2 linked regions of the Saccharomyces cerevisiae S288C genome follow. The gene in region 1 interacts genetically with each later gene. Each region holds a gene or a part of one and is shown on either strand. Other genes may lie near its edges. The genes, in order: CUS2 and UGA3.

What was found.
Region 2: mutations in CUS2 (region 1) and UGA3 together harm fitness more than expected from each alone (negative genetic interaction), as found in Saccharomyces cerevisiae (one large-scale study listed by BioGRID).

What each region holds. Positions count from the first base shown.
Region 1 is NC_001146.8:93,665-96,869, forward strand, and holds CUS2 (U2 snRNP complex subunit CUS2), read left to right. Parts: upstream 1-1,558; coding exon 1,559-2,416; downstream 2,417-3,205. Other genes in the region: SEC21 (coatomer subunit gamma), read left to right, coding at 1-1,137. UniProt on the Saccharomyces cerevisiae protein: U2 snRNP protein which helps to refold U2 into a structure favorable for its binding to SF3b and SF3a prior to spliceosome assembly. Mediates functional interactions between U2 RNA and PRP5.
Region 2 is NC_001136.10:154,397-158,738, forward strand, and holds UGA3 (Uga3p), read left to right. Parts: upstream 1-1,921; coding exon 1,922-3,508; downstream 3,509-4,342. Other genes in the region: GLT1 (glutamate synthase (NADH)), read right to left, coding at 1-1,244; UGX2 (Ugx2p), read right to left, coding at 3,668-4,339. UniProt on the Saccharomyces cerevisiae protein: GABA-dependent positive regulation of genes required for catabolism of GABA (UGA4, UGA1, and UGA2).

The sequences.
Region 1 (3,205 bases):
TCGGCTAGGAATAAAGATGATGTTATAGCACAAAATCTAATCGAATCCAAATATTTTTACGATATTCCATCATTAGAGTCAAAATTAAGTTCTTACATTTCCTCAAATACTGATTCATTTGCAACTGCATTTGATGTGAATCAAGTTCGTAAGTTTACTGAGGATGAAATGAAGGCAATAAATCTGAAGAGAAAGCAAGAACAAATTTTCAATCAAAAGTCTGAAACCACTTTGGATACTACACCAGAGGCAGAGAGTGTTCCAGAAAAAAGAGCTGACGCTAATTCATTTGCTGGTCCAAACTTGGACGACCACCAAGAAGATCTACTAGCTACTAAGTACGCTGACGAATTGCTATCCATTGAACAAATTAAACCATTTGGTCAATTAGTAAATAGTTCTAGGGCTATCTCATTAACTGAGCCAGAAGCAGAATTCGTTGTACGTGGTGTCAAACATCTCTTCAAAGACAATGTTGTTTTACAATTTAATATTACGAATACTCTGACGGATATTGCCCTAGACAATGTTTCTGTAGTCTGTACCCCTGAAATTTCTGATGAAGCTGAATTAGAAGAGCTATTCACCCTACAAGTGGACAGATTATTACCATCCGAGGAAGCAGCTTGTTACGTTGCATTCAAAAAACTTGATGAAATTGTAATGGAAGGTTTCTTGAACAACTTAACATTCACTACAAAAGAAATAAACCCTGACACTAATGAGCCATTTGATGGTGATGAAGGTTTCCAAGATGAATATGAAATTGACTCGATTTTCTTGAATGCTGGTGATTATGTTAAGAGTTCTTTCACTGGTAACTTCTCCGCTACATTTGATGAGTTGCCATGCGAAGAAGTTGCTGTTTTCAACATTCAAGAAGATTTATCCATACAAGAAGTAGTAGATAAGATTATTTTGAACAGTAGCTGCTTACCGGTGGAAAGTACCCAATTTGCTCCAAGTGATTCAAACTCCCACACCTTGAAATTATTTGGTAAGAGTGCTTTAACTGGATCTAAAGTAGCCCTACAGATTAAGATGATCAAGAGTTCGAAAGGTCTTGCTTTGAAAGTTCATGGTAAAGGTGAAGACAGCTTATTATGCTCTGATCTGGTGAATGGTCTAATGCAGTAAGCTGTGAAATTTTATTTCAGTTAATCCCTTCTTTTGTTATCAATAGTATTAAAAGAAATGCGTCAGCTTTAGCAAGCGTGCATGCAAATAAGGGAATGAACAGCAAGAACAATAATAAACCAAAAAAATCACGGATAGAATATGACGGATCATCACCACACGAAGAATAAATTATGTAATCTTTGTATAAACAAAATTTTTAAAGAAAAATACTATAATAGTTTGACAAGAGAAAACGAAATGGAAGAAACAGGACAACAGGGCAGAAAAAAGTTGACATTATGCAATTGATGAAAGAAGAAGAAGAAAAAAAACAAAAAAAAAGCACTAGTCTGACCAGGCATATTGTAAAAGGCTGCAGACCCTTGAACGCACTACACTTTTCACTGTATTCCGTTACCAACATTACTGTTTGACAGCGATGGATGCTGATGAATTGGAATTGAAAGGTCATTTGAAAAAATTGAAAAAAGAAGAATTGCTTAGAAGGAAACAGTTAAAAGAGAGTAATCTTCAGAAAAGAGAGCTTGAATATAATAATGCCTCAAAAAATACTTCAATATATATTTCTGGTCTTCCCACAGACAAAACAACGAAAGAAGGACTCACTGAGCAGTTTTGCAAGTATGGAATGATAAGAACCAATCGAGATGGGGAACCCCTTTGCAAGCTATATGTGAATGATAAAGGCGCTTTCAAAGGGGATGCCTTGATCACTTATTCCAAGGAAGAAAGTGTTACATTAGCAATCGAAATGATGAACGAGTCGATCTTCCTGGGAAAACAGATCAGGGTCGAAAGAGCCCAATTTCAAAACAAGGAAGGTGACAATATGCACGGGAAAGAAAATGATTTAAAGGAGTTCAACGGACCTGAGCCTCCAATAAAGAGGCTAAAAAAAGCGAAGTCTGAAGGGGAGGGGGAAGTAATAGATTACAATGACGATGAAAGCCTAGCAAAAGCTGATCGAACGGTGATATTTGCCAACGTATTCAATATTTACAAATCATACACAAATGATGATATAAATGATATTCAGGAAGATCTTTTGGAAGGCTGTGAAGAGATAGGTCAAGTAGACAGTATATCTGTATCTCCCAATAAGGGGGAAGCGACGGTCGTCTTTAAGAACAATAAAGTTGCATTGCAATGTTGCAAAATCATGACCGGACGTTATTTTGATGGGCAAAAGTTGCTTGCTTTCATTTCTGGAGATGAGAACACTTCAAGCACAAGTGACAAGAATGAGGACAGCGAAGTGGAAGATGACCTTATATAGAACTGCAGTAAAAAAATGTATTACCCCCATATCTTTGGTACTTAAGTAAAATAAGTGAACACAATGTAATAAACAGAATGGATTAGGGCTTTATGACTTCCCAGTACAAAATAAATGTCGATATAATACTTGAAAATGCAAGCAATGCCATCAAAAAATTTGAGCGGTACGAGAATCGAACCCGTGTCCCCACCTTGGAAGGGTGGGATGATAACCACTACACTAACCGCCCATGTGTTGGATGGTGTAACTGTAATGACGAGGTAATAAGTGATGGCGACTATATCACCACCGAAACACAGCGATTACTTAAAAGGGTAATCACTACTGCGATTCTAATTGTTGGAATAAACCAAACCTCTTCCGATAATGTTGGAACGAGAGTAATTAATAGTGACATGTGTTGCTATGGTAACAATCTAATGCTTACATCGTATATTAATGTACACCTCGTATACGTTTAAGTGTGATTGCACCTATTGCAGAAGGAATGTTAAACGAGAAGCTCAGACAATACTGAAGCTGTGTTTGAGAAATGGGTGAATGTTGAGATAATTGTTGGGATTCCATTGTTGATAAAGGCTATAATATTAGGTATACAGAATATACTAGAAGTTCTCCTCGAGGATATAGGAATCCTCAAAATGGAATCTATATTTCTACATACTAATATTACGATTATTCCTCATTCCGTTTTATATGTTTCATTATCCTATTACATTATCAATCCTTGCACTTCAGCTTCCTCTAACCTCGATGACAGCTTCTCATAACTTATGTCATCATCTT
Region 2 (4,342 bases), on another chromosome or scaffold:
TAATAACGACAAGGTCTTAAACCATTTCTATCCAATATAGCACCACAGTAACGTCCATCAGTGAAAGTTAACAAAGCTGGACCATCCCAAGGTTCCATCAGACATGCAGCCCAGTCGTACCATGCTTTTAGGTCAGAATCCATATCCTTATGATACGCTTCAGGAACCATCATCATAACAGCTTCAGGTAGAGATAATGTGCCATTAATAGTCAATAGTTCTAAAACGTTATCCAATGCAGCTGAATCAGAACCACCTTCTTCGATAATTGGGTATAGTTTGTCTAACTCATCTTTGAAAGTTGCTGAATTCATCACACCTTCTCTGGAGCGCATCCAATTCTTGTTACCTCTTAAGGTGTTAATTTCACCATTATGAGCTAGCCAACGTAAAGGTTGAGCTCTATCCCAAGAGGGGAAAGTATTAGTGGAAAATCTTGAATGGACCAACGCCATGTGGGATTTGAAATGCGCATTAGTCAAGTCGGGATAGTAGTTATACACTTGAGCTGGCGTCAATTGACCCTTGTAAACAATGGTGGTATTGTTTAGGGAACAAACATAGAACCAGTTTTCCAGTCCTATTTGAAGAGAGGCCTCCTTCCTTAAAAGATACAATTGAGTTCTAAATTTAGTTTCATTAAACTCCGGTTGTTTTTCATCATACAATGGAACCAATAATGGCTGTAGAATAGTAGGTTCACGAGATAATGCAACGTCTCCTAAAATAGTAGAATCTACGGGGACGTTTCTCCAACCTAATACGGATAAGTTGAAGGATGCAGCTAAATCCTCGAAAATCTTCTGACACTTAATTAAATTTTTCTTGTTATTTTTTTCGTTCTTCTTGAAGAAGACGTTACCTACGGCGTATTTGCCCATCTCAGGTATGTCTAGATCAAGATCTAACTTGAATTCTCTTTTCATAAATTCGTGAGGAATACCTAGCAGAATACCGGCACCGTCACCGTTCCCATCAGATGAGACGGCACCACGATGTGTCATATTCACTAAAAGATATCTAGCGTCAGTAACAATCTTGTGAGACTGTTCACCATGCTTATTTGCTACGAAACCGACACCACAAGCGTCATGTTCATAATCAGGGTCGTAAAGTCCTCGTTTGTCCGGAATCACATTTGCCCAAGATTTATGAAGATGGTGTTCATCGTTATAGTTTTGAATTGTCCCACCTTCGTAAGCTTCTTCCAATGGATCGAAATTGTCTGATTTCAACACTGGCATGCTTTCTTTTCTAATTCTTTTTCTAGTTCTTCAAAATAAATAAATGGCAAATAGATTAAGAAAAAAGAGAGAGTAGAAAGACAAAAATAAATAAAAAAAAACTGAAGCAGAAAAATAAATAAATAAGTTAAACGTTAATCACTACCTCAATGAGCTAAAAGAAGGGGAAGAAAGAGCAACTGAGAGTATCCGTCTGCGTAGTATAGGACTGAGATAGCAATTTCCTATCTTCCTATGATGTGGAGACGATTAGTTTGGTGTGTTATCAAGTAAGATATAAGAATTGATTAATTTGGTAAGAAATGAAACAATAGGACGAAAAATACAATAAGATAAGGAAGACCATCAGAACTTATGAATGACTAAGAAAAGCAGTTTATATTTTTTTTTTGGGCAATTTATTGCTTCTTTTTTTTACGTTTTGCGGGCATCACGTTCGTCGTGACATATGACTTGAAAAATGTGCAAAAGCTTATCGGAGCCAATCGGATTGACGCATTAAAACCGAAGTGTATTAGGACCAAATTTGCGCTGTATAGGGTTGAACGGTAGGGCTACCAGGGTCTGAGTCATCAAAGAAAAAGAAATTACAATAAGAGTCTTACTTAAGATGATATAGAATTGTTGTTATTGTTCATGTATGGATGCCAAGAAAACAAAGTTTTTTAAAGTGAGGTATGAATTATGGCGTGGAGAAGCTGAAATTGAAATATTCGAAGCATGGGTGTATTACTTGCAAGATCAGAAAGAAGAGATGCTCTGAAGATAAACCTGTGTGCCGGGACTGTCGTCGATTAAGTTTTCCCTGTATCTATATATCAGAATCTGTTGATAAGCAGTCTTTGAAAAAAATAAAGGCAGATATACAGCACCAGTTGATCAGCAAGAAAAGAAAGCATGCTCCTGACAGTGCTCAGAAAGCGGCCGTGGCCACCCGTACTCGACGGGTCGGTAGCGACGAACAGGATAACCAGGTATATTTGTCAAAACCGCTGGAAGATTGCATTTCTCAGAAGCTGGACTCTATGGGATTGCAGCTGTACAACTACTACAGGTCTCACCTTGCAAACATAATTTCCATCGCGCCCATGAACCAGAACTACTATCTGAACATTTTCTTGCCAATGGCCCACGAGAATGATGGTATATTGTTTGCTATTCTTGCTTGGTCAGCTAATCATTTGTCTATATCATCATCAAATGAGCTGCGAAAGGATGAAATATTTGTCAACTTGGCGAACAAGTATACATACATGTCGTTATCGCATCTAAAGACAAACGAGGGCTCAAGTGCCTGTGCTAAACTGGGGTTTCTATATTCACTAGCACAAATCCTAATCTTATGTGGTTCAGAGATATGTCAGGGTGATGTGAAATTTTGGAAGATATTATTGAATATAGGAAAAAATTTGATCGAAAACCATGTGGGCAAGGATGTCTCACGGATACTAACCACTACTACAGAAGAACCCTCCCTAGAGGAGAGGATAATCTTCCCCAATTTCAATTCCGTTGTTAAGTACTGGCTGATTGTGAATTTTATATATCATGATATTTTGAATTTCAATACAACGTCCTTCCCGATCGAACAATACGAGAAATTCTTCCAAAGGGATCAGAACTCTTTACCCAGCTCAGCCAACTTTATTGAGTCAATAGACTCGCCAATTGAGGAAATAGACCCTTTAATTGGCATCAACAAGCCTATTTTACTACTATTGGGACAAGTCACAAATTTGACGAGGTTTTTGCAGACTATGGAACAGGAAGAAATGCTAGAGCATGGCGATAAAATTTTGAGTTTGCAAGTCGAGATTTATAAATTACAACCTTCGCTTATGGCGCTGGAACATTTGGATGATGAAAAGAAATTTTACTATTTAGAACTATTCGAGATAATGAAAATTTCTACCTTAATGTTCTTTCAATTAACTTTATTAAAGATTGACAAAGATTCGCTGGAACTACAGATACTGAGAAACAAATTGGACTCGAAGCTAGACAAGGTCATCGGAACTTTTTTGGAAGGATCGTTATGCTTCCCACTTTTCATTTACGGTGTATGCATTCAGGTAGAAGATATGGAGAAAAAAATAGATTTGGAAGCCAAATTTGACGACATTTTAAAACGATATAAATGTTACAATTTCCAAAATGCTAGATTATTGATACGGAAAATTTGGCAAAACGAGGCTGATGGCATCAGTGAGCATGACCTGGTCCACATGATTGACGAATTAGATTACAATATTAATTTTGCCTGAGCAGCATATATTTTCTTTCCCCGCCCCCTGGGTGTCTTAAATTATTGTTTCACCACACAAACATATATATGTTCTTTTTTTTTTTTGTAGGACGTACGGATTCAAAAACAATTTATACCTATACAATGTAGAAATGCTAACGTTGAGACATAGAAGTAATTATTTAATTAACCATTTTAGGTGATTATTTTCAGGGGTGTCCGAGTCCACCTCTACAACATCCACCTGCCCGGTTTGATACCTGTAATCGCCTGTCTTGGAGTCCTCCACAAAGCTTATGCTTCTCTCAGATTTCCTGCGTGGCCTATCCATTATGGCTGCTCCTGCATACGACGTGCCAGTGCCGCCAATCATATCTATATCATGATTGCTTTCCCCGTCGCTTGTACTATCTTCATTCGAGTGGACGTCATGAGCCCATACAGATTTATACCGATTTGCTCTCGGAAATTCATGGCCATCTAGCACTTGTATTCTTTGGTAGTGATCACTATCATTATCCTCGTCACTCTCGTCCCTTTCACAAACGGGGCTTTCCCTTCTCTGCTTTGCAGTCCTTGTTAATTTAGTCTTAGACTTCATTTTAGCTCTTTTATTAGATTTTGTCTTTAATTTGCCCTTGATCTTCAAAATTAACTCATCAAAGTTGTCCTCGTGTGCATCATATACCACCTTATATGATTGTTGGTATTGTGTGGCGAATAAGTCCTGGTTCCAGGCAAAACCTTGACTTTGAGATACAGATATTTTAAAATTTGGCCTTATTTCTGCACTATATGTAAATACCGAACTGGTATTTGAGTATACAATAAGTTTCTCCTTATCCTCCATGAC